7 linked regions of the Canis lupus familiaris genome follow. The protein of the gene in region 2 purifies or fractionates together with the protein of the main gene of each other region. This does not show direct contact. Links are inferred from orthologs where the notes say so. Each region holds a gene or a part of one and is shown on either strand. Other genes may lie near its edges. The genes, in order: C10H12orf45, RUVBL1, ZNHIT6, WDCP, DKC1, tubulin alpha-1A chain and DPCD.

Region 1 (2,444 bases), on a different chromosome or scaffold from region 2:
CCAGCTCTTTAAAAGGTAGCTTTTGTTTCTCTGAGAAACAAAATACATCTAATGATACATAAAAGCACCACAGATATCTGAAATGCAAAACAACCAGCAAGCCATTATTCTTTTTCTGCAGAACAAGCAGGCATACATCACCTGTTTCTGAGACCATTTATTTTACTATTTCTATTTTTTTACTGGATGGGCTGTCCAAAACCTCAATCTTGCCTTTTCCATCTTCTGAATGAGGAAGCTTAATGTTATCTATGGTGACTTCAGAAGCGGTGCTATCATCTTCCTCCTCAGATTCTGAGCTGTCCTCCGAGCTGTCTTGTAAACTCTCTTCTGAACTGTCCTCTTCTTTGGAATTGGATTGATTCATCTCAAACAAGGCCACATCCTGCCAAAAGCACCACGTGAGAAATTCATTTCATGGTAGTCCCCTAGAAAGTTGCAAAAACCACCTTGGGAAGAACCCACAACATTAAGGACAAATATCAAAGCACAAAGGGCAAGAAATGTTTTTAATACAATATGGCCTTTTTTTTTCTTTCAGTTGCCACCCCCCACCATGATGGTTTACAGGTACTACAAGTCTAAAAAGTCCCCCACAACCCAATTCTATACAACCTGAACACATTCAACAATATGCATCCAACAAATATTAACAAATACTAACATGAGCCAGGCACCACACTAGGTTTTAGAGACTCCACCAGAACAGCAACAAAATCCCTGCCTTTGTGGCACTGATATTTTTGAGACGGATTGGCAAATTACAGCTTGCAGGCCAAACCCAGCCCAGTATCTGTTTTTGTTTAGCTTGTGACCTAAGAATGTTTGTTTGTTTGTTTATTTATTTATTTTATTTTTTAAAAGATTGTATTTATTTATTCATGAGAAACACAGAAAGAGAGGCAGAGGCACAGGCAGAGGGAGAGGCAGGCTCTCTGCGGGGAGCCTGGTGTGGGACTCAATCCTGGGACCCCAGGAACACGCCCTGAGCCAAAGGCAGACGCTCAACCACTGAGCAAACCAGGTGCCCTAAGAGTGTTTTTTAAAATTTTTAAGTGGCAGGAAAAAAAAAAATCAAAGGGATAATATTTCGTGAACCATGAAAATGATATGGTAAGTCAATAAAACCTGCCTATTCAAACATATCGTCTACAGCTGCTTTCATGCTAACATGGCAGAAATGAGCAGTCACAACAGAGACAGTATGGCCGACAAGCCTAAAGTATGTACTAGCTGGCCTCAGATACAAAATACTTGCTGACCTCTGTTCTAGTCAGGAAAAAAAGATAATGAAAAACTACATATAAAGTATAGTGTAGGACAAGTTAAAATGAAGAAAAGTAAAGCACGATAGGATAAGCTTCTAATAGGGCCACTGGGGTGACCACTAGTAAGAGAGGGAGGGAGTGAAGATGCAGAAATCTGGGAAGAGACTTGTACAAAGACGGACAAGACCTGGAGCAAGGAGACTGAACGGGAGTACAGGAAAGAGGTGGGAGGTAAATCAGATGGAGCTAGAGGCAGGATCCCATGGGCCCTTGAGGGACTCTGAACTCATGAGGAGTGTGATGGGAAGGGTAGGCCACACATAGTGTGAAGAACAGATCATAGGAAAGAAAAGGCCGAAGCAGGGGAACCTGTTGAGAAATCACTGCAGCAGTCCAGAGGAGACCATGATGACATGGACCAAGGGTGGCAGCAGGGGACACGGTACAGAGTAGCTGGATCTGGATAAATTCTGGAGGTAGAGTAGGCCAGAGCTGCTGATGAATGAGATGTTACTATCAAGCATGCTGTCAGCTCTGTCCAGACGCAAGTGTTATACAGGGAACTCTGGTGTAGAAAAGGAAATGAGGCTACATGAAGAAGACTTTGCATGTGGCTCAGGTAATCAGTCTGTTAAGTGCATCATTTATTTTTATACTTTCCATGAATCAGGTTATGATTACTTCTTTTAGGAAAAAACAACCCACTTGGAACACTTAGTAAATTAATGCTTCAAGATAACAAATGTACTATTTGACTTGAAAAAGCCCTCCTATTCTCTATTGCTACACTCCTAAACTCCACTCAGGGAAGCTTACTGATCTGTAAGATCCCTGATCATAAAATGATCAGATCCCCATGCAGTACTGGAAATATGAGCGGACTCTGCAAGAAGGAAAAAATAACGCTTGGAATTATACTGGAAAAGTCCTCTCTCTTAAAGATGATGAGGCATACTGGTAATTTTACCCTATGAAATGAAAACAAAGCATCATTACCATTTGTATAACTTTTCCAAGAGCCCCATCAATATCCTCAATATTGAAACGACCAGGTGATGCAGCTGCCATTTCTTTTCTCAGCTTTTCATTTGCCTGAGCTATCTGTGGGAGAAAGGTCTGCACTTGGTCCAACACTAAGGAAAGAAAATATACTTTATCAATATTTATGTCAGTCTT
Region 2 (3,500 bases):
CCTTTGCAGGATTTCAGAAAGCCCGACAAAGCTGTGCCTTTCCCCCTGTTCTAGCAAACTCTTTAGTGTTTTAGCTTTGAGCAGGATTTGTGTCTGTTCCTCATGCTGGCAAGATGAAAACTTAACACCTTGACTAGTAAAATGTGGGAGAAGAACAGTATGACTATGTGACACCTCTGCAAAATGTGTGATTTTAAAACCCTAGTCTTCCCTGCTGGTAGTCTTTCAGTTTGATTTCCTCTTCATCCTGGAAGAGTCCTCCTCTTTACTAGCAGGGAATAGGCTTTCTTACTTGAAATTCGATCCTTGGGTGTTTTGCCCCTTCGAGCATTGGCCAAGACATTGCTGAAGAACTGTCTTGGACCAGCAGGTCCCTCTGTGTGGAACAGCTGTCCCCAAAGCAGCCTCCTGGGAGCTTTCGCCTTGGTTGGAGTGTTTGGCTGAGAGTTGGAAGTCGGGGATTGTGTCATTCCGACACTGATGAGCTTGGTCCATTAGTTGCTTTGCCTCCCTGAGTTTTCTGTGATTTAGGGCTCTTTGGCTTCGAGTTTCCTTCTCTGTGAAGAGGGCAAATAGTGCCTACCCTGTAGGATCAGATGTAGTTTCTCAGGAAACATCTGCTACATTTTACAACTAAACATTTAGTGAGCACCTCTGTGACCCAGCACCTGGCAAAACAGGATCACAAAATGCTAGGCAGGTGACAAAAGAGCACCTCTTCTTGCTGACTGCACTGGGAAGGGCTGGCAGGAGGGTGCAGCAGGTGGTGAGCCTGTTAGCAGCCTGCTGTTCTGTAGGATTGGCTTCCCCGACCAAGCAGCTCTAGACCAGGATGGGATTAATGTGACTGTGCAGTCGAGTCTGGAGACAGGAGATGCAGGAACAGAGATAAGTACGTCCTTACACTTCCCTCAACAGTCCATTCGTCCCCAAGGGAACTGGAGCATCAGCAGAGTGAAGGGCCAGATGCCCCATGAGGGTGTTTGACTTGAACTTGGATGGATAACTAGAGATTCCTGGAAAAGACACCGTGCTTCCTGGCAGGTGGACTAGAATATGCAAAAGCATTGAATCATAAAAGAACATGGGTGTTCAGAGAAGAGTACGGTCCTATGTGGCTACTCAGGGAATACAGGATCGGCAAAGGATATGGCTGAAGAAGGAGATTGGGGTAGGCCCCACAGAACTGGTACTTCCCACGAAGGGATTGTGCTCATTCTTGCAGTCCAAGGGGAACCTCTTAAAACTTCCTCCGTGTTGAGAGTTCCTCACGTTTTCCAGTGAGGGTGCCTGGGGTCTCCACACCTAGGACCCCGTGTCCAGCTGATAGTAAGAACAGTGTGATGGGGGTGGTGGTAGTGAGACTTTTGCAGCTGCCTTAGAAAGTTGGACTGACTCTGGGAATCTTTTGTTTTGCAGGGAGGGCAAGACATCCTGTCCATGATGGGCCAGTTAATGAAGCCAAAGAAGACAGAAATCACAGGTAAGAGAAATAGGCCTGTGAGCAAGAACCAGAACCCTAGAGCCCTGGATTCTGATGTACTGTGTGAGGCTTTTTTTTTTTTTTTTTTTAAGATTTTATTTATTCATGAGAGACACACACAGAGAGAGAGGAGGGGCAGAGACACAGGCAGGCCTCATGCTGGGAACCTGATGTGGGACCCGATCCCGGGTCTCCAGGATCACACCTGGGCTGAAGGCAGTGCTAAACTGTTGAGCCACCCAGGCTGCCGTGTGTGAGGCTTTTTGAGTGAATCCCCAGACCTGAGGAAATGCCTTAGGACAGGTTCGTTCTCCTTTTCAGAGCCTGGCTTTATCCTGGCAGTCGGTGGCTGTTTTAGACAGCTGTAAATAAAGCATACTGTGTGCTTCCAGCCCAGAGTGCTAGTGCATCCTCTTGAATGCATTCAGTATCCTTGCACTCATCTTTGAAGATGGAGGCTGCCAAAACCTCTGGTCCTTTCGAGGTCCAAGAAACATGGATGGTATTGCCCTAGCTGTGCAGGAGAACTCCCGCCAGACTGCTCCTGAGCACAGCAAATTCCACCACCTTGGTACTTGGCCTTCTTGCCCTACAGCCGCAAAGCAGCTCCCAGCCTGCCTGGCTCAGCTTCCTGGGCATGTCCCAGAGCTTGGCAGGAATGTCGCTGTTCCCTTGTGGACCTTTAGTTTACCCTGCTTCTCTTCCCAACTGGTACATCCCTCTTTTTTTCTAAGTATTACCTATAATTCTGTCACCTTAAAATGTTAAACATTAAAGCCTCTGTTTTTTGTTTCATGTTAGCCAGTGGAGTGATCTGAGACCTGTCTAGTAGAGTCTCCAAGAGCAGTTTCTGTGTTTTCACAGTTTTAACCATGAGTTCTCTTTTGACCATCCCTGCCTCATGAGTTTAGTGGACAATGCAGCATCAGATCTTCGTGTTCTGTGTTTGCGAGCAGCTCCCCCCTGATGCTAATCAGGAGCTGGTTTGGAAAATGAGAACTGTGACCTTAGATGGTCTTATGTAACTCTTGTGAGACCCGTCCCTCTAGAACTCTGAGGTTGGACCTTTCCTCAGAACCTGCATTCCTCACAGTTTTCCTTCCAGAGAAGATTCTGCACACACCCTGTTCTTCATCTAGGCACTTGATTGAAAGTTAATTAACCTAAGCTTTGTCACATAGGGCCAAAAGAAAGGGTCACTTAGCGCAGAACAGGAAAATTTGCATATGAAAACTCATTTCACACAGGGCTCCTCAACTTCTGTGTCTCTGCGATGTCACAGGGCACTAAATGGGTTGGTGTGAGTAATAAGGCAGCTGGGGAGTGTGCCCTTGTGAAGACATGCAAAACTATAAAAGCCACTTACAAACTTAACATATCAGCAGGGGAAGCTACCGGTTGTGTGACTTCTATGTGGTGATTATATTCCTATTTCCGGATGATAACACTGAAGTGGGGACATAACCTGCCTGGGTCGTATAGTTAGCAGTACAAGTGGGCTCCACACTTGAGTTAGGATCATATTCGGTTGGGGGAGAGAAGAAAAGGGGACCACTTCCCCACCTGACTATACTTGTCTCCTCTCACTATCTCCTAGACAAACTTCGAGGGGAGATTAACAAGGTGGTGAATAAGTACATTGATCAAGGCATTGCTGAGCTGGTTCCAGGTGTACTCTTTGTTGATGAGGTCCACATGCTGGACATAGAGTGCTTCACCTACCTGCACCGGGCCCTGGAATCTTCCATCGCCCCCATCGTCATCTTTGCATCCAACCGAGGCAACTGTGTCATCAGGTAGGGTGGCTCTTTGCCAGCCTTAAGGCCTTTCCACCTTCCATCTGGGTTCATGTTTTCCTCTGGGATCACTTTTTTTTTTTTTAAATTTTTATTTATTTATGATAGTCACATACAGAGAGAGAGAGAGAGGCAGAGACACAGGCAGAGGGAGAAGCAGGTTCCATGCACCGGGAGCCCGACGTGGGATTCGATCGCGGGTCTCCAGGATCGCGCCCTGG
Region 3 (4,089 bases), on a different chromosome or scaffold from region 2:
TGGCTTCCATTTTCACTCAGAATACGTTAGGAGTCCTCACCAGTTTCTCTAACCTCATGTTGAATATTCTTCTCTTTACGCAATTATGCTTCAGTCACCATGTCCCCATTTTAATCCTCAAACACACCAACCTTACTCTTAACACAGTCTTTACTTCTGTTTTTGTCACTACCTAGAACAGTCTTCCTCCAAAGGTTCACATGGCTGCCTCTCATTCAGATCATTGCTTAAATGTCATCTCTCAGAGAAACTTCTCCTGACTACTGTATTGAAGATACTCATAATCTCCTCCCAAAAAACACCATTTTAATTTTCTTTAATCTCCTGTGCTTGCTTTATTTCCCACATGCACTAAACTCTATCTGAAATTATCTTTGTTCCTCTACTCATCTCCTGTCTTTCCCCACACAATACAGGCTCCATGAGAAGAAATTTGTTTTGGTCACTGATGTACCCTAGTAACTGGAATAGCTCTGGATCACAGTAGCTGCTCACCACATATTCGGTGAAAAAAAAAAAAAAATGAATCTAACTGATAAAAAGAATTTTAACTGGAAGTGATGGAAAAAATAAATACTTACGTGTTTATTGCTTATTGGTCTTTTTAAAAAAGCATCTCTAGAAATGTGGTCTGCTGTTCTTGCCACATCTTCCAAAAACCGATAATCTAAAAATTTCAAAATAGAAAAATAAATGACATATTCCAGTGGCCAGGAAGATCAATCCGCTATCCCTAAGATGACTTACCACTTAGGAGATTCATTTCAGTAAACTGTTGTATGGAAACATATGCAGTCTTATCTCGAACTCCATTACATGTCAGTTCTGCTTTGTGTTTCTTCACACAGGGCAAACTGAAGAGACAAAGAGGAGGTACTTTTATACTGAGGTACGATGGGTACAGACATGGGTAGTAAGGTAGGAAATTACATATATACCTGCAGGAATATCGCATACAACGTGGACATTTGTACTTGGCTTCTTCTGTACCACAAGTTTCACACCTACAAAAGCCCACAAGGAAATAAATTATCAAATATTAATTCTACTCTTTTATCTATAATCTTTAACGCTGAGTCAATTACTCATCACCAACAATTTAAAGACATGTAGTCAGTGAAGAAGGTATATGCAAGTAACTCTGATAAAATACTTGATAGTTGTCAAACATCCTTAGAAAATTCTGCTCTAGGAAACTGTCTCCAAACGACATTTACAATATTGTTAGTACTACATAATCCAAGAAAACATGTAATAAGTTTTAAATCTCGCTTTTGACTTCTTTTGCTATTGCGATCACAGAATGAGATTGCTCACTACTATTTTAACTTGTGATTCCTGGCAGTCCGTTAATGATTGTGTTTGTACGTGTGCACACGTGCGCACATAACCAGAGGTCCAATCCGTGAATTCAAATACCTTAAAGGCACACACACCACAAAAAAGTAGGAGACCAGGTTAAATACATAGTATCAGCGGCCTCTCTTCTCATCTCCACACCCAACCTGAAATGAGCACTAAAATAATCTGGAAGTTCTCTTACCCATCATCTGTCTCCAATTGCTCTTCTAGGAGCTTAGGACTGACAACCAAACTACAGCCATTTCTTTTTGGCCCAGTCTGTTCTAGACAGGAAGAGTCCCAAGAATGTGACCACTCTTCTATTTCCTATGCTGTCACATGATCACAAAGTAAAGGAGATTAACTATAAAGCAATGAACATTCACAGTATCCACAGAGGAAGTAGACAGCTGGGGGAGTTCAAGTGCATTTCTGATTTTAACGATCCACGGTATCCCTGTTAGTTTAGCAGACTTTCTTTATGCCTATCCTCTTTTAAAGAATATTGAGTCAAGAGCATATTAAGTCAAACCAGAATCTGGTCCAAGAGTTTTCTAGTCCCCAGAATTTTCTGACTTGGCCATTGTGCACTGGCCACTTACCGCCTGACGTATTTTCACTGAATGTGTTGTTCTCTGACAAAACCCTTCCCCTCCCCCCCCCCACCTCCACCACCAACACGTTGGCTCCAGAGACCCAAGATGGCATTTATTGTTCATTATTTGACACCCGGCTGCTCGATTTCCTTCATCCCAGACAACAGAGGACTCCACACCTCTATTTTCCCAATGAATCTCTCCCTGTCCTACCTGGACATGGCCAGTTTCCGTTTGAAACCCGCTGGGGGATTTACCCGAGGCTCCTCTTTCACCTTCGCATCATCCATCACTTCTTCCTTTGGGAGATACTTCTCTTCCTTTACATTCACTTCATCCATCATTTCCTCCTTTTTTATGTTCTGAGTAACAAAGGCTTCCTCTTTTATCTCCAAATTACCTTTCTTCTCTTCCTTCACATCTAGCCAGTCCATCATCTCTTCCTTCACCTTCACTTTCTCTTCTTTTACCTCTGCCTCACTCCCCTTCTCTTCTTTCACCTCAAAACTCCCATCCATCTCCTGCTTCACCTCCGATACGCCTGGTTTCTCCTCCTTCACCTCAGGCGCGTCCTCCGCCTCCTGCTTTACCCACCGGCCTTCTTCCATTTCCGACCAATCCAGAACTTCTTGCTTCACAACCGTTAGGTCCACTCGCATCTCCTCGGCCTTCTGGCCACTCCTTTCCCCGTCCTCCGCCTTCTCCACTCCTGCCAGTCCGTTCCCCGCTCCCACGCTGCCAACTTCCGTCACTGCGGTGCCCCCGACTCTCTCCCGGTCGGACGCCAGCCTCAGCCGCGCCCCCTCAGCTCCACTCTGCAGACCTCCTCCCAAAGTCCCCTCATCTTCAACAGCAATATCCATCAGCCCACGACCCCCCGGTCTCCGCGGCCACTCTGTCCTTCAGTGTGGCTTGTCCACGCCAAAAGGAACGAATTCCGGGCCCGAACACCGACGGTCACCCACGTGCGGCGCCGAAAATCGCCAAGCTGCGAACGCCGGCCTGCCGCTCTCGTTCCAAGTAGTCGTAGAGCAACGCTGCCGCGCCTCGCCACTTTACGACTCGGAGAGCCCTTTACGGCCCTGCAGCAGTCGGGCCCAGAGGCTCCGAGAGAATCGGCGTGAGGCCACGCCCACTGAGAGCCACTTCCGGGGCGGGGCTTCGCTCTACCCATCCCCCGGGGGGGCGGTGTCCGCCCGCTTTCCCCGCCCCCAACCCGTGCGCGGCCACGCTCCTCGGTAGAGAGGGAGGGAGGGGCGGGCAGCAGGGCTCTGACCGCGCGGGCCTCGGAGGACCTCGCCAGGTCTCTAGGCACCGTTACTCTTTTTTCTCTCTTTTTTAAAGGTTTTATTTATTTATTTATTTATTTATGAGACACAGAGAGAGGAGCAGAGACACAGGCAGAGGGAGAAGCAGGCTCCATGCAGGGAGCCCGACGGGGACTCGATCCCGAAACCCCGGGGTCACGCCCTGGGCTGCAGGCGGCGCTAAACCGCTGCGCCACCAGCGCTGCCCCTGGGCCCCGTCACTCCTGTATGACAATGGAAGAAACACTTGAAAGAAAGAAAACAAACAAACAAACAAACAAACAAAAACACTTGATGCCACGCATCTAGGCTTCATTCTTCGCCTGTACACTAGACAGGATGGAATTCCACAACTTGGCGTTCCTGTGAAGATTCAATGGAATCGTGCATGCAAATAAGCCAGTAGTTATTGAAATAAACTCCATTATAAGGTGGCTGTTGTTACAGGGAGTCCTGAAAGGTTTCAGACAGGAAAAAAGGGAATTAACTTTTATTCTTTCAGCGCCATCAGTAACAGCCAGTTTCCCATTTCCAGAATCCTGCTGGATTCTTCTTTAAGAGAACATATTTAGGGATTTAAAGACTGAGCCAAAAGTTCAATCCCCAGGAATAGGCCTAAAAAATATGCCCCAAAATGCAAAAAACAAAACCCACACATTTATCTGTTTCAGTTACTTTTCTAGGTTATTATTATCACATACTGGGCCTTAGGCACTTTCACCTGATCTTCACATCATGTCTGTGAGGTATTTTCTCACCTGTAAGGAGACTTCATAGGAGATGTATTTTTCTTGCTGCATAAAGGAGACTTCAGAGAAATGGCTTCTCAGCTGTAGGCTGCTTTG
Region 4 (4,094 bases), on a different chromosome or scaffold from region 2:
TCATGTGGGCAGCCCTGGTGGCTCAGTGGTTTAGTGCCTGCCTTTGGCCCAGGGCCTGATTCTGAAGACCCGGGATTGAGTCCCACGTCAGGCTCCCTGCATGGAGCCTGCTTCTCCCTCTGCCTGTGTCTCTGCCTCTCTCTCTCTCTGTGTGTCTCTCATGAATAAATAAGTAAAAATCTAAAAAAAAAAAAAAAAAAAAAAAAGATCTGCTTCATCTAAGATGTCTATAGGGTAGCAATGTACCTTAGGCAGTCAGAGGTTAAGGGTTTGGAAGTCACTGTCATAATGTAGGTAATTAAAACCAAAGCAGTGGACACCCTGGCTGTGAAAGATCAGAGCCAAGAGAACAAAAGTTGAAATAGCCTTCAGACGTTCCCCAATTATTCTGTATATTAAAAAATATTTAAATTCTCCCTGATGCTAACTGTATCCTTGTGACTATAAGATTTCAGGGAGTTTTAGGGAAAGAAAAGTTCACTGTTTTATTACTTCAGGGAAGAGAAGGCCAGAACCAGGACCTGGTACTCAGCCTATGGCCATTTAATTCTTGTTTTCAAGACAACTCAGGTGAGAATCAAGGCGCTTAGGCGAACTGGACCACTTCCAGTAGGTTTTTTTTTTTTTTTTTTTTTTTTTAAGATTTATTTGTTTGTTTGTTTGTTCATATTCAGGCAGAGGGAGAAGCAGGCTCCATGCAGGGAGCCCGATGCCGGATTCGACCCCGGGACCCCAGGATCACGCCCTGGGCCAAAGGCAGCGCTAACCGCTGAGCCACCCAGGGGTCCCCCTCCAGTAGGTTTAAACAGAGTTACACAACCTCCAACTTGTTTTTCTGTTTATTGTGTTTCCACTATAAAATAATTTCAAGTGCTTTACACTTTTTTTCTTTTTAGTCAACACAGGAGAAAGGCAAAAAGGTAAATTCCTAAAAAAGCATATTCATCCAACGGAAAAAAAAAAAAATCCCTCTGGGACTTTTTTTCTATGGAAAATGATTACATTTTCCAACCATACTGTCCAATCTCACATCACGATTTTTTCCACTTATATATTAGCGTTTTCCCATGCCATTTAAATTCTATAAATATTTTTAGAAGCCACTTAATCATATTCACTCCGCGAAGGCGCATACTTTTTCCTCACTGTGGAGACACCTGGTTCTGAGGCTTTAAAGCCAACTTTACCTTCTTGTACGTGACGCTGTGATAAGGCTCTTTATGCATAAAGCACGTTCTTCACCCCGGGTGGCTGCCCCGGGACATAGTCCCAGAAGTGTCACTAGCGAGTCACGTGGAACACATTCAAACCCTCAGCCCCTCCCCCCTCGCGGTCCGCCGCCCGGGCCCCCCGCGCGCCTCCTCCTCCCTTTCTCCCCATCCTCTCGGCACACCTGGGCCCAGCCCACTCCCCAGCAAGCGCCGGCCCCTCCACCTCCCTCCGGGCCCACCCTCAGCCTCCCGACACCAGGTAAGCTGGGCAGCTGCGGAGACAAAATACCTTCGGGATTACTGCCCACAGAAAATAAGACTCCCGGGTGCCGCGGGATCCCGAGCCCGGAGCGAATACCGGAAGCACCGGCCCCCAGGCTCCTGATAGGACAGCGGTAGCCGGGCAAGTCCCACAATGCCCTCTGTCTATTGGCTCTTACTTGTGTCACGTTAGGGGAGGGTCCTTCCCTTTGACCAATAAGCTCGGGCTTCGCTGCATGGATCTCTGGGAGTAGTAGTTTCTGTGAAACTCCATCTACAGTAAACCAGCCACACATTCGCCCTCCCTGAAGGGGAGAGCCTTCCCCCACTTCTCCTCGATTTTCTGAGTCTAAGAAAGAGTACAGGATTCCTAGAGTCTACACGGTTTCTTAACTTTTCTTCGGGGGGGGCGGGCGGGGAAGGGGGTCAGGAGGTGGGATGGTATCACTTCTTTAAAATGTGATAAAAATCTCCCCCCCCCCAGAAAAATGTACTTATCCCTATCCTAAATATTGTGCATTCAACTGAAGCTGCTCCATGGACCTATCCGAGTTACAAACCCCTGTCCTACACTTTCCCCAAGAGTGCCTCCCCATGGACCATAGTCCAAGGAAGGACCCGGTGCATCACTAGATTTTAGACTAGCTGCATACCTGGGAGACTCTGGGCCACGCCGTGAAGCAGTCCATGGGGAATTTCGGATGCTGACCCTCATAGTACAGTTGGCCATCATCTTTCTTGAACAAAACAGCCAGTGCTCCTTCAGTGATGCTGATATCCTCAAGTCTGACCTAACCATCTGGGAGCCTTGGGGGTGGGGGTGGAAGAAGAACATTTCTAGGGTCCACTCTGGGTGCCTTTGCTCAGGCTTTTCTCCTCGTGCCTATATTCCAGTGCCACTGGTCAGAACCATGCTTTCACGTCGATTTTTAGAACAATGCAGGGAAAGATGAGAGAAAAAGAGAGGGGAAAAAATAAAGTTCCATTCATTCTTCAAGCAAATGTCATCTCCTCCAAAGATGTTTTTCTAGATTCCTGGAACTCTTTTGGGTGGAGGTGAAGGGTCTAGCGTGGAAGAGGAGCTCAAGGTATAATTTATTCATTCATCCCACAGCACGAATCACTCCACGCTGTAACTAACTCTCCCCGTCCCCGCCCGTCACAAAATTTCATTCTTTGACGACAGCGATTCTGCTTTAATTAAATTGGTATCCTCAGGGCTCTGTTCTTTGCCTTGAAGGTGGGCATCTACCTGTGAGTGCTGGAGAACTACGCGGGACGGCGACCAGGGGTTTAGGGAGATCGCAGTGGGGTAATGGCCGGTGCCCTCCCCCCCGCCCCCTCCCCCCGCCCGCGCGCACCCCCAGGCTGCTCCTACAGTCCGGCAGCCGAGCCAGGGCGAGTACCCTAACGGGTGCTGCCCTAACGTTCTGGACTCCAGGGCAGTGAGCGCATCTATTTAAAGTGTTGGTTTAGTTGCTGGCTTTCGCCTAGTCGGTGGGACCGGGTTGACTCCCCAGAGCTTAGCACAGAGTAGATGCTAGATAAATCTGTGATGAGCGGATGCATAGAGGGGTGGCTGCACCGGCGGGTGCGTAGATGCGCGGGGGTCTCTGCCTCCCCCTCCGTCCCCCCCCACCCCCGTGAACGACGGTCGGCCCGGCCAGGCCCGGGAGCCGCGGCGCCGGGGTCCCTTCCCCGGGCCCCGCCCCAGCCGACCCCACCTTTCCGCGCCGCCCCGCTCCGCCCCGCCGCCCCCTTCCCCGTGGCCCCTCCCCGCGCAGGTCCCGACTCCCGCCGCACCTCCTCCGGCTCTGCAGTGGCGGCGGGGAGGCGAGCCGGAGCGCCAGCGGGGCCGGGGCCGGGGCCGGAGCCGGAGCCGCAGCCGAGCCGGGGTCGGGGCAGCAGCCGGGACCCTCAGAGGCGGGGCCAGTGGGACTGCGATGGGCGTGGAGATCGAGACCATCTCCCCGGGAGACGGTACCGGGCGGCGGAGCCGGGGGAGGAGGAAGGGTCCCGGGGCGGAGCCGGGCGGGCGGGGGTCTGGGTCGGAGGTGGCGCGGAGGGTGAGGACGCGGGGGCGGGCGCAGGGTGGGGCGGCGGGGGAGACCCCAGACTGCACTGTCGGAGCTCTGGCCGACGACCCTCCGCCCCCCTCCCCGCGCCGGCTCACCTAGGGCGTCGGAGGCGGCGGCCGCAGGCGGGGGTCTGGGCCCGCCACCGCCCCGGGGGCCTCGGGCGCCGCCGCCGCCGCGGGAGCCCCTCAGTTGTCTGCCGCTGCTAATTTCCCAGGGCAGGGGTTTGGCTCTGCTCTCCCTGCCCTGCTAGGTGAGCTCCGGGGACCGCTGGAAGGGTTCCCTTCTTGGGGCAACCCGTTTCCAACGCGCCCCCCTGAGGGCCTCGGCTCCCGCGGCCCCCGTGGGCTGGGCGGGGAGACGTTGTGGGGGGACCGAGCCCGTCTGCGAGGAAGAAGCGCTCCCTCCGCCGCCTCTGCATCCTGCTTTATCCTCCCCGCCCCACTCCGCCTCTCCAGCCATCCTGTACACTCCCATGGCTTTCATTACCGTCTGCAAACCGATGGCCTCCAAACTTAAGCCTCCAGCCCAGATCTCCGACCCATTT
Region 5 (2,613 bases), on a different chromosome or scaffold from region 2:
CCCGCTGCCCACAGCCTGCAGAGGGAGACACCCCGCTTCCTTGCCCCCGCGGAGCTGCTGGGCTGCTACGCACTTGGGGCCCCAGCGCCCCCCCCACCGCGGCTCCCGGAGCTCTAGTCCCCGCGAGACCCTCAGGCGCACACTGAGCCTCAAGTTCGGGCCTCACCTCGCTGCAGGGAGGGACCCCAGCCCATGCATGGGGGGGGCACCTCCTGCCAGCCCCATTCCTCTCCTCTTCCCATGTCTAGGACATCACTGTGAGGGTTCCCCCTTTCATCTAGTCCATGTCCTCAGCGAAGATTCCAGAGCCCTCACTCAGTTCCATGCCAGGGAACGGGCCCCAGAATGAATGGGGCAACTCAGAACCAGGGAAAGAAAAGGAAGCAATGAACTAGCCCTGTGTTCCAAATTGGACATAAAGTCCCCTAGATTTTTAATCAAACTAGTTTATATTTTTTGTTTTGCTAGTTTTACATCTGCGATAAAAGACCCAACAGAAATACTTAAAAACAAGTAGACTTTATTAAGTAAAAAGTACAACCTTCTCCCAGCAAGAAGTAATTTCATCCTTTGAAAGTAAAAGAGGGTTAAAAGAGAGAGTCTGGAATAGTTTCCTAGCTTCTGTCACAAACACAAGTAGGCAGATGGACTCAAGTGCGTGAGGCTGTCCACGCAGGCTCTGAAGGGGCACAAAGGGCCGCTAAAGCCGGGGAGGGGCGGGGGGCTGGACAGAGCTGACGGGATGGCCTGCCTGTGACAGGGACACACACGGGGGGGCAGAGATGGCTCTGACACCAGAAAAGACCACTGTCCTCCTAGGACACGGGACAAAAGATTGATCCCCCAAGTGACCAACAGGATTCAGTTCTTTTCCTTGCTCCACATCGGGTCACTGGGCCACGTGTGGAGACTTTTAAAATGAGTTGGGGGGGGTGCAAAGCAGGAGAGGGCTAGATGTCGCGACAGCCACCGGGCGCCGCCCGCAGACGTTCCTGGGCCACCCTGGATCTGAGGGAGGGGACTCCCAGCTCTCCCGAGAAGCGCAGCGGGCGGCATCGAGCCTGCCTCCTGCACCCACATCCTTAGAACAGGACAGGGTGGGGGGAGCACGCCGGGTCTCGTCCCCGAGTTCTCAGGGAGCAGCTGCGAAGCGCTGAACTCTCCGAGCTTCCTGGGACCTGCGTTCCATTCCCTCAAGAACAAAAGAGTTACGTTTTCTCAGTAAGGCTTTAATGTCTCCTCCCGACCGGGCACCGTGCCTGCGCTGGCGTCCACTACTCCGAAACCACCTCCGCTTTTATTTTCTTCTTCTTCTTCTTCTTCCTGGCGCTGTCACTGTCCTGGGAGAGAGAGGGCAGCCTCAGTGCGTCCGTTAACAACCCAATCGGCTCGACTTCCAAAGGCCCCATAAAGCCGCCTCCGGACCAGTGAGGATATTCGGACCTTCTCAGGGAGGCCCCAATGTCCCCTCTTAGACAGTCCGCAAGAGACGCCACTCAGACGCGCCCCGCCATCAACAGTCTGCAGCACGAGCGGCTGCCAGCAAACGCTGCCCCCTGCCCCTTCCGGCTAAGCAAGCGCGGGCCTCCCAACCACGTTCCCCACATACCCCATCTGCGGGCTCACTCGCGCCCTCCGCGGCAGCTTTGGCCTTCTCCTTCTTCTTCTTCTTCTTCTCCTTCTTGAGCAGCTGTGGAGACAGCTCATCGCTCTCACTGTCTCGCTTCCGCTAAGGTGCAGACAAGTGATCAAATGTGAGATCGTGGGCAAAGTGGGGAAGAAACGTCCAGTAAGAACACGGGAAGCGCCAGAGGACTTCCCGACTCAACCCAACACGATCATTTCCTCATTACGACCCCCAAGAGAGCCTTCATCTGCAGAGGATTCAAACAACCTCCGCCCCAAAGACCGGGAAGCCACGGGCCCAGCAGGAGCACCGGAGCAGCAGGGCCGGGGGCCCCAGGGGGCAGCCAGCAGCGCCTCCCAGCTCGCTCCCTGCACCCACGCTGTACTCTCAAGCCGCGGGTCCCCAACCCTGAGAAGTCGAGGTACTACTGCCTACTGTCCTCCAACTTCCCAACACCGATCCCGTGCTGCCTAGAGGTGGTCAGCCTCAGGTGATTCTGCCCCCCGAGCTTCGCACAGTGGATTTCCACACAGCTGTGCCACCATCTGACCCAGGGTGGGGCCAGGAGCCCATGGACCCCTCTGCGCTCCAGCACTGCTGCCTCAGCTGAGGTGGGAGCCGAGGCCAATGTGAGCTGAGCCCGTAGCGCTCCTGGCAGCCACAGCAGGGAACGCCCCCTGGAACCCGCTCAGCACCGACGGGCACCCCGACGCCTGGCACAGCATGGTCTCCGCTGTGCGGGGGTGGGGAGCGGGCTGCGTGGGGCCACAACACGGGCCTGGTGTGCAATCACGCTCAGGACCAGCGGACACCCCCCCTCCGCCGGGCACAGGGCGCAGCGCTTGCAGCATGCCACCTACCTTCGGGGCTTTCACCACTTCGGCAGCCACTTTGGGGGACTTTACTACCTCGGTGACTTCCTGTGCGGCTGTTCCTGCCTTGGCTACCACCTCTTTCTTTGCAGAGTCGCTGCAAGAGAGGTAGGA
Region 6 (4,082 bases), on a different chromosome or scaffold from region 2:
ACAAAACAAAACAAAACATCGTATCTCAAATGTCTTCCTTCAGATCCTTATTTACTTTATTCTTGAGAATAAACATACCAGTTTCCGAATTCGGTCCAAGACAAGGTCAATGATCTCCTTGCCAATGGTGTAGTGCCCTCGGGCATAGTTATTGGCAGCATCTTCCTTGCCTGTGATGAGCTGCTCAGGGTGGAAGAGCTGGCGGTAGGTGCCAGTGCGAACTTCATCTGGAAAAGGAAAACAAGGTGGCCACCCATCACTAACAACCTGCATGACCCTGCTCAGCCCCAGGCTGTCAGTGGAGCCTCAGACAGACCTCCTGTCCCAGTGCCCCGGGAGCTCACTTGGGTTACTGAGGCCAACTCACCAATGACTGTGGGCTCCAGGTCTACAAACACTGCCCTGGGCACATGCTTGCCAGCGCCCGTCTCACTGAAGAAGGTGTTGAAGGAGTCATCTCCTCCCCCAATGGTCTTGTCACTTGGCATCTGGCCATCGGGCTGAATGCCGTGTTCCAGGCAATAGAGCTCCCAGCAGGCATTGCCGATCTGGACACCTGCCTGGCCAACGTGGATCGAGATACACTCACGCTATGGGAAGGAAAAGAGGAAAATTGTAAATTAGGTTGTGGTAGCATTTTGAATTTTTAGTTAATTTTTGAAAATATTTCTAATAATATACAGGTATTCTTCAGGTTTAGTTGAGATTATCCCTAATTCAATAGAAATGATTAAGGAAAGCACCTGCTACAAATGCTGCAGATGGGTGTGGTCTGAATAATAATGTTGCACTGTTTCGCACATGTGCAAGCCCATTGTTTCCAGTCATGCTTAAATATAATTTTTTTATTTAAAAATATTTAAAGCACGGATTTTGTAAAATGAAGCAAATTAAATTTAATCATTAATTAGTTGGAATCAATATTACTATTCTTGCCCCTTTAAATAAGAGTTTCTTCTACATATGACTTGGTATTTTAACATGGACATCTGTGCTGCAGCTGAAGCTAGATGCCACACCCCTTTGCAGTGTATCTGCAGAATCCATTAGTACTAGGGGATTGGAAGCTAACAAGGTCTGCCTCCTGCACTGCTGCATTGCTGCATTTGCTGTGCCTGGTACTAGCCTATTCTGTCTGCTACATTATTTAACAGAGTAAGTTCTATTTCCAGAAACTGCCTACATGATCTCATTGTGCTATTAGCCAGTTTTCCTTCTGTGACCCGGGCTGGGACCATATGCCTAAACTGAAATGAATTAATGTAGATTCACTAGAACAAAAGACAGCTGAACAGAGAGTACATAGTTCTTTGTCTGCAGCATTTTCATTACTTAAAAAGATGTCCTTCCAGAATCTTCTCCACTGCAAAATAAAAAAAAAAACCCTGAAAAATTATTAGAATCTTTAAAACAATAGTTCCTAAATTAGAAAAGTATCAGAGGACCTACCTAAGAATAAAAGCTCAGTGCAAGGATAATGAAATATTTATTTAAAATAATAAAATAGTATTTTCATTCTGAGATTCTCTACTCACCACAGAATATTTCTACTCATCACGTTGAATAAGAGATTTTCTTCCCTATAGTCTTTATGGCTACAGCTTCCATTGTCTAGCCATTGTCTATTCACTGACATTTGGGCGGGGGTTGGGGGCGGGGGGGTGGGGTGGGGAAGGGCGTTTCCCTGGGTCCTGGGCAGTAGGGTACCCTGGCTCTCAAAGTGAGCTTTTTCTCTTGCTGGACGTGCCGTGCGGCTAGCACACAGACAGACAGACAGACACATACACACACACACACACACACACACACACACACTCACTCCAGTCAGGGCGGGGTCGCCCCAGACCAGACTTTAAAGGGCTTGTGAAGAGAACTGTGATTTTGCATCTCAAGAAAGAAATATTTCATCTACGTTTTAACAGTGAATGAAAAACCTTTTAACGCCTACAGTTCCACAACGATGAAAGGCTTTTAATAAAAGTCTCCGACAGAGGAGGCTTAGAGAGGACGAGCGAACCCCGCCCCGCGGCTCCAAGGCCGGAGAAGCCAGAAACAAACAACTCCGCCCCTGCGCCGCCCCGACGCCGGCTGCCCGGGGTTCCAGCAGAAACTAGCCATTTTCCCCCGTGCAGACGCGGGTATCTCCCTAGAACGCCACCGACCCCGGAGCGATCTTCTTCCTCTAGCCCGGGGCTGCGCTTTGTCCCGCTCCTCTCCCCCTCCCCCTGCCCAACTGCACCCGCCGCGCCCGGGGCTGGGGGACCTCTTCTCGCCCTCCCCCTGGGACCAGCGCCAGGAAGAAAAGCCTGTCCGAGCCACACATACACCGGGGCCGCCTTTCCCTGCCCCAGATCCTGTCGTCACCGACAGACGGGCTGCTCGCGGCTCGGAAGGGCTCAGATAACAAGGACTCGCTCGGCGCCGCCTTTGTTCTTCCCCACGGTTCTGCTGCGCCCCGGGCGCAGTCCTGGCTGCGCTCCCGCACCCGCACCCGCACCCGCACCCCGCGCTGCGGCGGCGGCCGGGCTCGAGGATTTGGGGCAGCGAAGCTACACCTCGCAAACAAAGCATAAAGGCTGACCCTTACCCAAAGAAGCTGTAAAGGAAAGAAGGAAAGAGGGCTTCAGGTTTTCCCAGCAGATCTTGGGGGACTGACCCCACCCAAGGGCCACAAAGAGCCAGAGAAGGAAGATTCTTACCATGGTTGCTGCTTGGCGGCTGCCGGGCGGATGGCGGAGAAGAGGAGAGGTTGTTGCTTCTTACAGCGCGACTCTTAGGCGGTCGATGTAAGAGAACCTGCGGCACATGGGCGGATGCGGCTCCCTATATACAACTCGGTCACCATGGGGATGGGCTGGGGCCTTTTCCTGTTGGTCCAGACCCCCTCAATCTGCCCGGAGAAGTCACGACAGGAGAGTGGTGATTGGTGCAAGCAACATGGGATGAGGTAATCTCTCCCCCACCCCTTTTTCCCTAGCATCCATAGACTGTTTGCATCCTCCAGACAAAGAGACTGTGCAAAAACAGTCAGCCGAGCATCCATGATGGGGTGGGGTTGGGGGGCGGGTGGAGAAAAGAAGAAAGAAAACTTGAATTGGATGATTTTGCTATTGCTTAAACCTCACACTTACAGTTAAAATCACCAGTGTAGGTTTTTTTTTTTTTCTCCAACACTTAGATCGCAGAATTTGTGTTCACATGAAATATTTGATGGAAAATTACTCCCAGCTCCTCTCTCAAAATATACTAAGTTCTACCACATTCGGTGAGGCTTCAACGTCTCTAATTGCTTTATAGATAAAGTAGGAGAAAAGATGGGAATGATGCTTAAAAAGGCTTGGGTGCATGTGATTTTTTTTTTTAATATAAAAAGAAGGTTCAGTAATAGAGCCATCCAAAATGGCTTTTGAGGTTCAAGTAATTTATCTTCAGACCTTCTTTTGCACCCCTCCCCCAAATAGCTAAACAAAAGGGAGGATGGAAGAAAACCATACTAAATATGGAAGCACACAAGTAGTTCTAACACGGTGATAATTAAGATCTAAGAAACCTACTGTAGTTAAATAGTCTACTAGAAATACTCTTTTACCAGAAGTCTGTGTGATTACTATATTTTATGTAGTGTATTATTCCTTAAGATGAATCATCTTTCCTGATAACAGAATTGAGAAAATACAAGGAGTTCAGAAACTAGTTCTAGTACCTGTGCATGCAGTTATTCTCGGCATTGTTCTCCCCGCCCCCCGCCCTTTTTCTGGAAAGGAAGAGAATAACTAAGACATCAAATTTAAAAGGAGAGCTGTATAATGTAAGAAAGAAGACATTTTATAATTTTGTCTCCATCCACAGACAAGTTTGTCAGCTCGATAACTGCATTTCTTTTTTTATGTAGTTCTTGTGTGAATTCAGTAAATCTTCTCAGAGATTGGACTTCTAACTGTGGGAATTGTAGACAGCCTCACACCGTTGCTATTCAACTAGAGACTGTGGTGGTTGCTCAATTGCCTCTTGGGACAAAAAGGCTTTGCTTTCAGCCCTAGGAAATGGATTGCAGTAACATTCTTTTGCTATTTAGAAAGGCT
Region 7 (4,101 bases), on a different chromosome or scaffold from region 2:
TACAGTCAACTGGTTTTTCTTTTGTGGTTACTACCCAGGAGTTGTAATTATCTGTATTTTATTCTATCACATATTTACTTTATAGCTATATATGTGTATGTGTGTGTATATATATATACACACACATAATTTTATTAGTATACTTTGGTAAAAAAATATATATATGACTGTACATGCATGAAGAAATATGAAAGTTTATGCATGAAAATGTAAATTATGGTGGTGCCTAGGTGGCTCAGTTTGTTGAACATCTGCCTTTGGCTCAGGTCATGATTCCAGGATCCTGGGATTGAGCCCCACATCTGGCGCTCTGCTCAGCAGGGAGTCTGCTTCTCCCTCTGCCTCTGCCAGTCTTGCTCACTCTCTAATAAATAAAATCTTTTAAAAAATGTAAATTATGATTATCTCTAGATGGTAGTTGATAGGTGACTTTAGTTATTTTTCATATTTCCATAATGAGCATCAATTCTTCCTGAAAAAAAATTCAAGAGTATTGGGTTCTCACTACCAATAGCAGTGATTTTTTTTGTGAGAGGGAGGTAATATTCTCCACATACCCAACAGGAAAGTAAATCTATAGGAGAGGTTTGACAAGATGTATCCAATCCATATACTTAACATTAATTATTATTATTTGACTTGGGGGAAAAAAAGACCAACAGCATTGTTGTGGATGCTACTAACAAAAAAACCTAACAAAATCCTAGATGATGTAATATTTGTTAAGAACTGTCCTGTGACCAAAGGAAGTGAAAGCAAGAACTCGAATACTTGTACCCCCATGTTCAGTCCAGTACTACTCACAATAGCTAAACAAGTGGAAGCATCTGTCCATCAACAGATGAATGGATAAATACAATGTGGCATATGCATACATACAGTGGAATGTTATTTAGCTTTGATACATGCAACATAGATGGGCGTTGAAATAAGTGGTTGCTAAGTGAAATATGCCAGTCACAAAAGGACAAATATTGTATGTCTCCACTTACATGAGGTTCCTGCTATAATCAATTCCATAAAGACAGAAAGTGGAATGGTAGTTGCCAGAGGCTGGGAATGGGGGAATTAGTGTTAACAGGTACAGAGTTTCAGTTGAAGAGATCCAGTGCTGGAGATGGATGGTGGTGATGGTTGCACAACAATATGAATATACTTCATGCCACAGAACTGTATCATTAAAATGGTAAATTCTATATTATCTATTTCTTATAATAAAACCAGACACCACTGTCCTATGAAAATAATGTCCAAAATCTTTAGCTTGGCATAAAAGGTCTATCACAACATACCCAATTTATTTAAAATCCTTCATTTCCCACCATTTCTCCTCACTGCTCCTTGAGAAAAGAGAACTTTTATTCACCTTGCATCCTAGCACCTGGTACCTGACAGTGTGGGGGGTTATGGCTAGGTGACTGTTACTGTTTCAGCCTCACTAAATGTTTTGTTTTCCCCTAGTAATCAGCCATATACTTTCACACCTCCATGCCCTTTTTTTTTTTTTTTTTTTTTTTTACATGTGAGTCATTCCTTCTAGAACAGCCATCTCCTCTTCTACACTTAGCAAACACATTAATTCCTTAGGACCCATAAACTTTACCTCTTCTGTCAGGTCTTCTTTCAAAGAGATGATCATTTCCATCTTCGTGCTCTCATACACTTTACAGAAAATCCCAACGTCTACTTAACACACATTTATTTACATATCTTTTTTTCATTCTCTGCTCTAATACACAACCTAGCACATAGTAAAAGCCTCCCTAAATGCTGCGTGAATGAACGAGCAAATGAGCAGGTGATATTAATTTCCAAGCTTCCCTGATTGGCCTCCTCCGGTGGATGGATGGATGTGTGCTTCCAGCTGGTATCCTCAAGCTACATGAATTTAGACCTAATTCATCTGGCTGCCAAGTGCGTCCAGGAAAGGACTTCTGCGGCAATGGGGGGTCCTACACCCGCCAATCCTAGAGTGAGACAAAATCAGGACTCCTTACCCCTATGCCCACCTTTCCCAGGCACAGCGCTGGGGCCCTTGCTGTTTTTCCCTATAGATCCCAGGGAATATTTAGAAGTTCACTTACAAACATATGACAGCTGGAAAGGACATCAGAGATTGCCCATCCAGCTCATTTTACAGACGAGGAAAATAAGGCCCAAGCAAATAAAGAAGCTGTGATTTAATGGCAGAGTAGTAACTAGGGCCCAGGTCTCCCCACCTCTTCAATGACACCAGGCTGCATTCAGCAACAGAACCCTACCGAGTGGACAACGGGCTAGGGCTGGTCTAAAACCCTCTTCAATTTCAGTTTCCTCTTCCCGTAAAATGGGGTGGAAATTAAAGAGCTGCTTGGGACAGCTGTCTGGAGCAAATAACATAACGAATATGAAAGGAGTTTTTATTAGTAACAGAACTCAGAGCGGGGCGAAGTGGTGTAGAGGGAACTAGGAGGTGTCCAGAGGCGCGTGTTCCAGTCACGTCATCGCTCTGGGCCTCAGTTTCCTCATCTGCCAAAGCAGGACCGGGCCTCGTCTGGCAGCCGCGGCCCTTTCAGCTCGGCCGTCCCAGGCTCGAAGGCCCTTCGCGGAGGCCCCAGTCCGAAGGGCTGGGCCCTGGGGGAAAGGACTAGGGAGTTCGTGGGGGGCCTCGAGTTACCGTCCTGCAGCAGCGCCGTCTTCTCGGCGGTCCGCAGACACTCCAACCAGCCGGTTACCGCCATCTTCCCTCCAGCCAGCCGCGCGACCGGCCGCTGCCATGGCAACCATTCCGCCTACGGTCACTTCCGGCCGACCCGGAAGGTGTTCCGGGCATTTGGCCTCCCTCCCCCCACCCTTTTCCCACCCGCCACGCCCTTCGTCCGCTCTCATTGGCTGCTCTGGTAAGTGGTTTACTCCGGCCGGCTCGCGGGTGAGCCGCGGGGTCCGACCACCGCGGACCCAATCGCGGCGGGGGGAGCGGTCCTTAGGGCAGGGTCCAGACCCTCCAGCCCTCCTCTGGCCCCCAGCTGGGAGTCCCTGGGTGCGCGCCAGCTGGGGACGCGGCGGGGACCCCACAGCTGCGGGTCGTCTCCACCCCCAGCTGTGAGGCCGAGACTCCCCCCAGCCTCGGAAGGCGCCCTAACACCTGCTGTGGCCATGCCCCGTCTCCCCGCAGCTGCGGGGCTGAGCTCCCCCGAACTAGAGGCCCACCACCAGGGCAGGTGTAGGGCGTTCCCCCGCCCCCCGGACACCCTCACCCCGAGGGTTTCCTCTGCGGGCCTGTGATGGGGTAGAGGAAGATCATGTGGGATTTAAATGCAGATTCATCTAAGTCCGTCAATCCTCTTGGGAGCCCAAGCCCTTTCTAAAGATGTAGCTCCATTTCCTAGCCTGGCATCCCCTTTTGGTAAAGCCCTTTCAAAGTGGGATGCTGCAGAGCAGACACTACACTGACTCTTTAGAGCAACCATCTGAGGAGTATCATTTTGTACCCCTCCAGAGTTCCTCAATAGTCCCATTCTTCCCTTTATATCCCCCAGTATTCTGACTTTGAAAGGCTGGTAAGTGCTAGGCTAAATTGCTGAAGCTCAGCTGGGTTTTGGGAGACCCCTAGGGGAACTGAGGTACTGCCTCCAAAGTCCGGTTGTTAGAGACAGCACCTCCATAGGCAAAGGGTTGGGTAACCTCAGTTCTGGGTTTCCACATGACAGTTGGCCCGATCAAACCTAAAACTGAAAGGCCGTGATTTGGCCAATACCCCAATGGACCCTGGGGGCATCTTGAAGGCATTTCCCAAAAGGAGGAAAATTCATGCCAATCCATCATCAAAAGCACTTGCAAAGATTCCCAAGCAAGAAGGTGGAGAAGAAGAAAGAGGTGAGCAGATCCACCCTCAGAGCCCTCATGTACTTGAACCCCTAGGCTTCCTATATTGTTCATGACTAGAATCAGATAGTAGAGCTGATTTCTGCCAACCCATGGCCTGCAGGTTGGTTTGTGTATCTGTTGTACCAGGCTTGGGCCCCAGTCTTTGCCAGGCCACTTGGCTGTGTTATTTTCTAACCCATCCCTAGACCTCTGTTAATCAGAAAATACTCTCTGGCCCCTAAGGAAATGACCAGC

The links.
Region 1: the proteins of RUVBL1 (region 2) and C10H12orf45 purify together in Homo sapiens (affinity purification with mass spectrometry; 4 studies listed by BioGRID and IntAct, counting the BioPlex papers as one, with this or other methods). This does not show direct contact. The link is inferred for Canis lupus familiaris from reciprocal best matches to the Homo sapiens genes RUVBL1 and NOPCHAP1.
Region 3: the proteins of RUVBL1 (region 2) and ZNHIT6 purify together in Homo sapiens (co-immunoprecipitation; 3 studies listed by BioGRID and IntAct, counting the BioPlex papers as one, with this or other methods). This does not show direct contact. The link is inferred for Canis lupus familiaris from reciprocal best matches to the Homo sapiens genes RUVBL1 and ZNHIT6.
Region 4: the proteins of RUVBL1 (region 2) and WDCP purify together in Homo sapiens (affinity purification with mass spectrometry; 6 studies listed by BioGRID and IntAct, counting the BioPlex papers as one, with this or other methods). This does not show direct contact. The link is inferred for Canis lupus familiaris from reciprocal best matches to the Homo sapiens genes RUVBL1 and WDCP.
Region 5: the proteins of RUVBL1 (region 2) and DKC1 purify together in Homo sapiens (affinity purification with mass spectrometry; 4 studies listed by BioGRID and IntAct, counting the BioPlex papers as one, with this or other methods). This does not show direct contact. The link is inferred for Canis lupus familiaris from reciprocal best matches to the Homo sapiens genes RUVBL1 and DKC1.
Region 6: the proteins of RUVBL1 (region 2) and tubulin alpha-1A chain purify together in Homo sapiens (affinity purification with western blotting; 3 studies listed by BioGRID and IntAct, with this or other methods). This does not show direct contact. The link is inferred for Canis lupus familiaris from reciprocal best matches to the Homo sapiens genes RUVBL1 and TUBA1A.
Region 7: the proteins of RUVBL1 (region 2) and DPCD purify together in Homo sapiens (affinity purification with mass spectrometry; 6 studies listed by BioGRID and IntAct, counting the BioPlex papers as one, with this or other methods). This does not show direct contact. The link is inferred for Canis lupus familiaris from reciprocal best matches to the Homo sapiens genes RUVBL1 and DPCD.

Annotation. Positions count from the first base shown.
Region 1 is NC_049231.1:34,426,757-34,429,200, forward strand, and holds part of C10H12orf45 (uncharacterized protein C12orf45 homolog), read right to left. Parts: intron 2,402-2,444; coding exon 2,265-2,401; intron 386-2,264; coding exon 158-385; 3' UTR 1-157. UniProt on the Homo sapiens protein: Client-loading PAQosome/R2TP complex cofactor that selects NOP58 to promote box C/D small nucleolar ribonucleoprotein (snoRNP) assembly. Acts as a bridge between NOP58 and the R2TP complex via RUVBL1:RUVBL2.
Region 2 is NC_049241.1:2,139,297-2,142,796, reverse strand, and holds part of RUVBL1 (ruvB-like 1), read left to right. Parts: intron 1-1,419; coding exon 1,420-1,483; intron 1,484-3,080; coding exon 3,081-3,279; intron 3,280-3,500. UniProt on the Homo sapiens protein: Possesses single-stranded DNA-stimulated ATPase and ATP-dependent DNA helicase (3' to 5') activity; hexamerization is thought to be critical for ATP hydrolysis and adjacent subunits in the ring-like structure contribute to the ATPase activity.
Region 3 is NC_049227.1:62,877,369-62,881,457, reverse strand, and holds the start of ZNHIT6 (box C/D snoRNA protein 1), read right to left. Parts: upstream 2,801-4,089; coding exon 2,151-2,800; intron 1,005-2,150; coding exon 939-1,004; intron 855-938; coding exon 748-854; intron 668-747; coding exon 582-667; intron 1-581. UniProt on the Homo sapiens protein: Required for box C/D snoRNAs accumulation involved in snoRNA processing, snoRNA transport to the nucleolus and ribosome biogenesis.
Region 4 is NC_049238.1:18,592,666-18,596,759, forward strand, and holds the start of WDCP (WD repeat and coiled-coil-containing protein), read right to left. Parts: upstream 2,801-4,094; 5' UTR 2,308-2,800; coding exon 2,126-2,307; intron 1,857-2,125; exon of another isoform or gene 1,703-1,856; intron 1,627-1,702; exon of another isoform or gene 1,501-1,626; intron 1-1,500. Other genes in the region: peptidyl-prolyl cis-trans isomerase FKBP1B, read left to right, coding at 3,416-3,452.
Region 5 is NC_049260.1:123,939,308-123,941,920, reverse strand, and holds the end of DKC1 (H/ACA ribonucleoprotein complex subunit DKC1), read right to left. Parts: intron 2,597-2,613; coding exon 2,488-2,596; intron 1,730-2,487; coding exon 1,610-1,729; intron 1,341-1,609; coding exon 1,275-1,340; 3' UTR 501-1,274; downstream 1-500.
Region 6 is NC_049248.1:41,239,328-41,243,409, forward strand, and holds the start of tubulin alpha-1A chain, read right to left. Parts: upstream 2,801-4,082; 5' UTR 2,703-2,800; coding exon 2,700-2,702; exon of another isoform or gene 1,849-2,699; intron 591-1,848; coding exon 368-590; intron 228-367; coding exon 79-227; intron 1-78. UniProt on the Homo sapiens protein: Tubulin is the major constituent of microtubules, a cylinder consisting of laterally associated linear protofilaments composed of alpha- and beta-tubulin heterodimers.
Region 7 is NC_049249.1:14,386,540-14,390,640, reverse strand, and holds the start of DPCD (protein DPCD), read right to left. Parts: upstream 2,801-4,101; 5' UTR 2,721-2,800; coding exon 2,657-2,720; intron 1-2,656. Other genes in the region: POLL (DNA polymerase lambda), read left to right, coding at 3,741-3,855. UniProt on the Homo sapiens protein: May play a role in the formation or function of ciliated cells.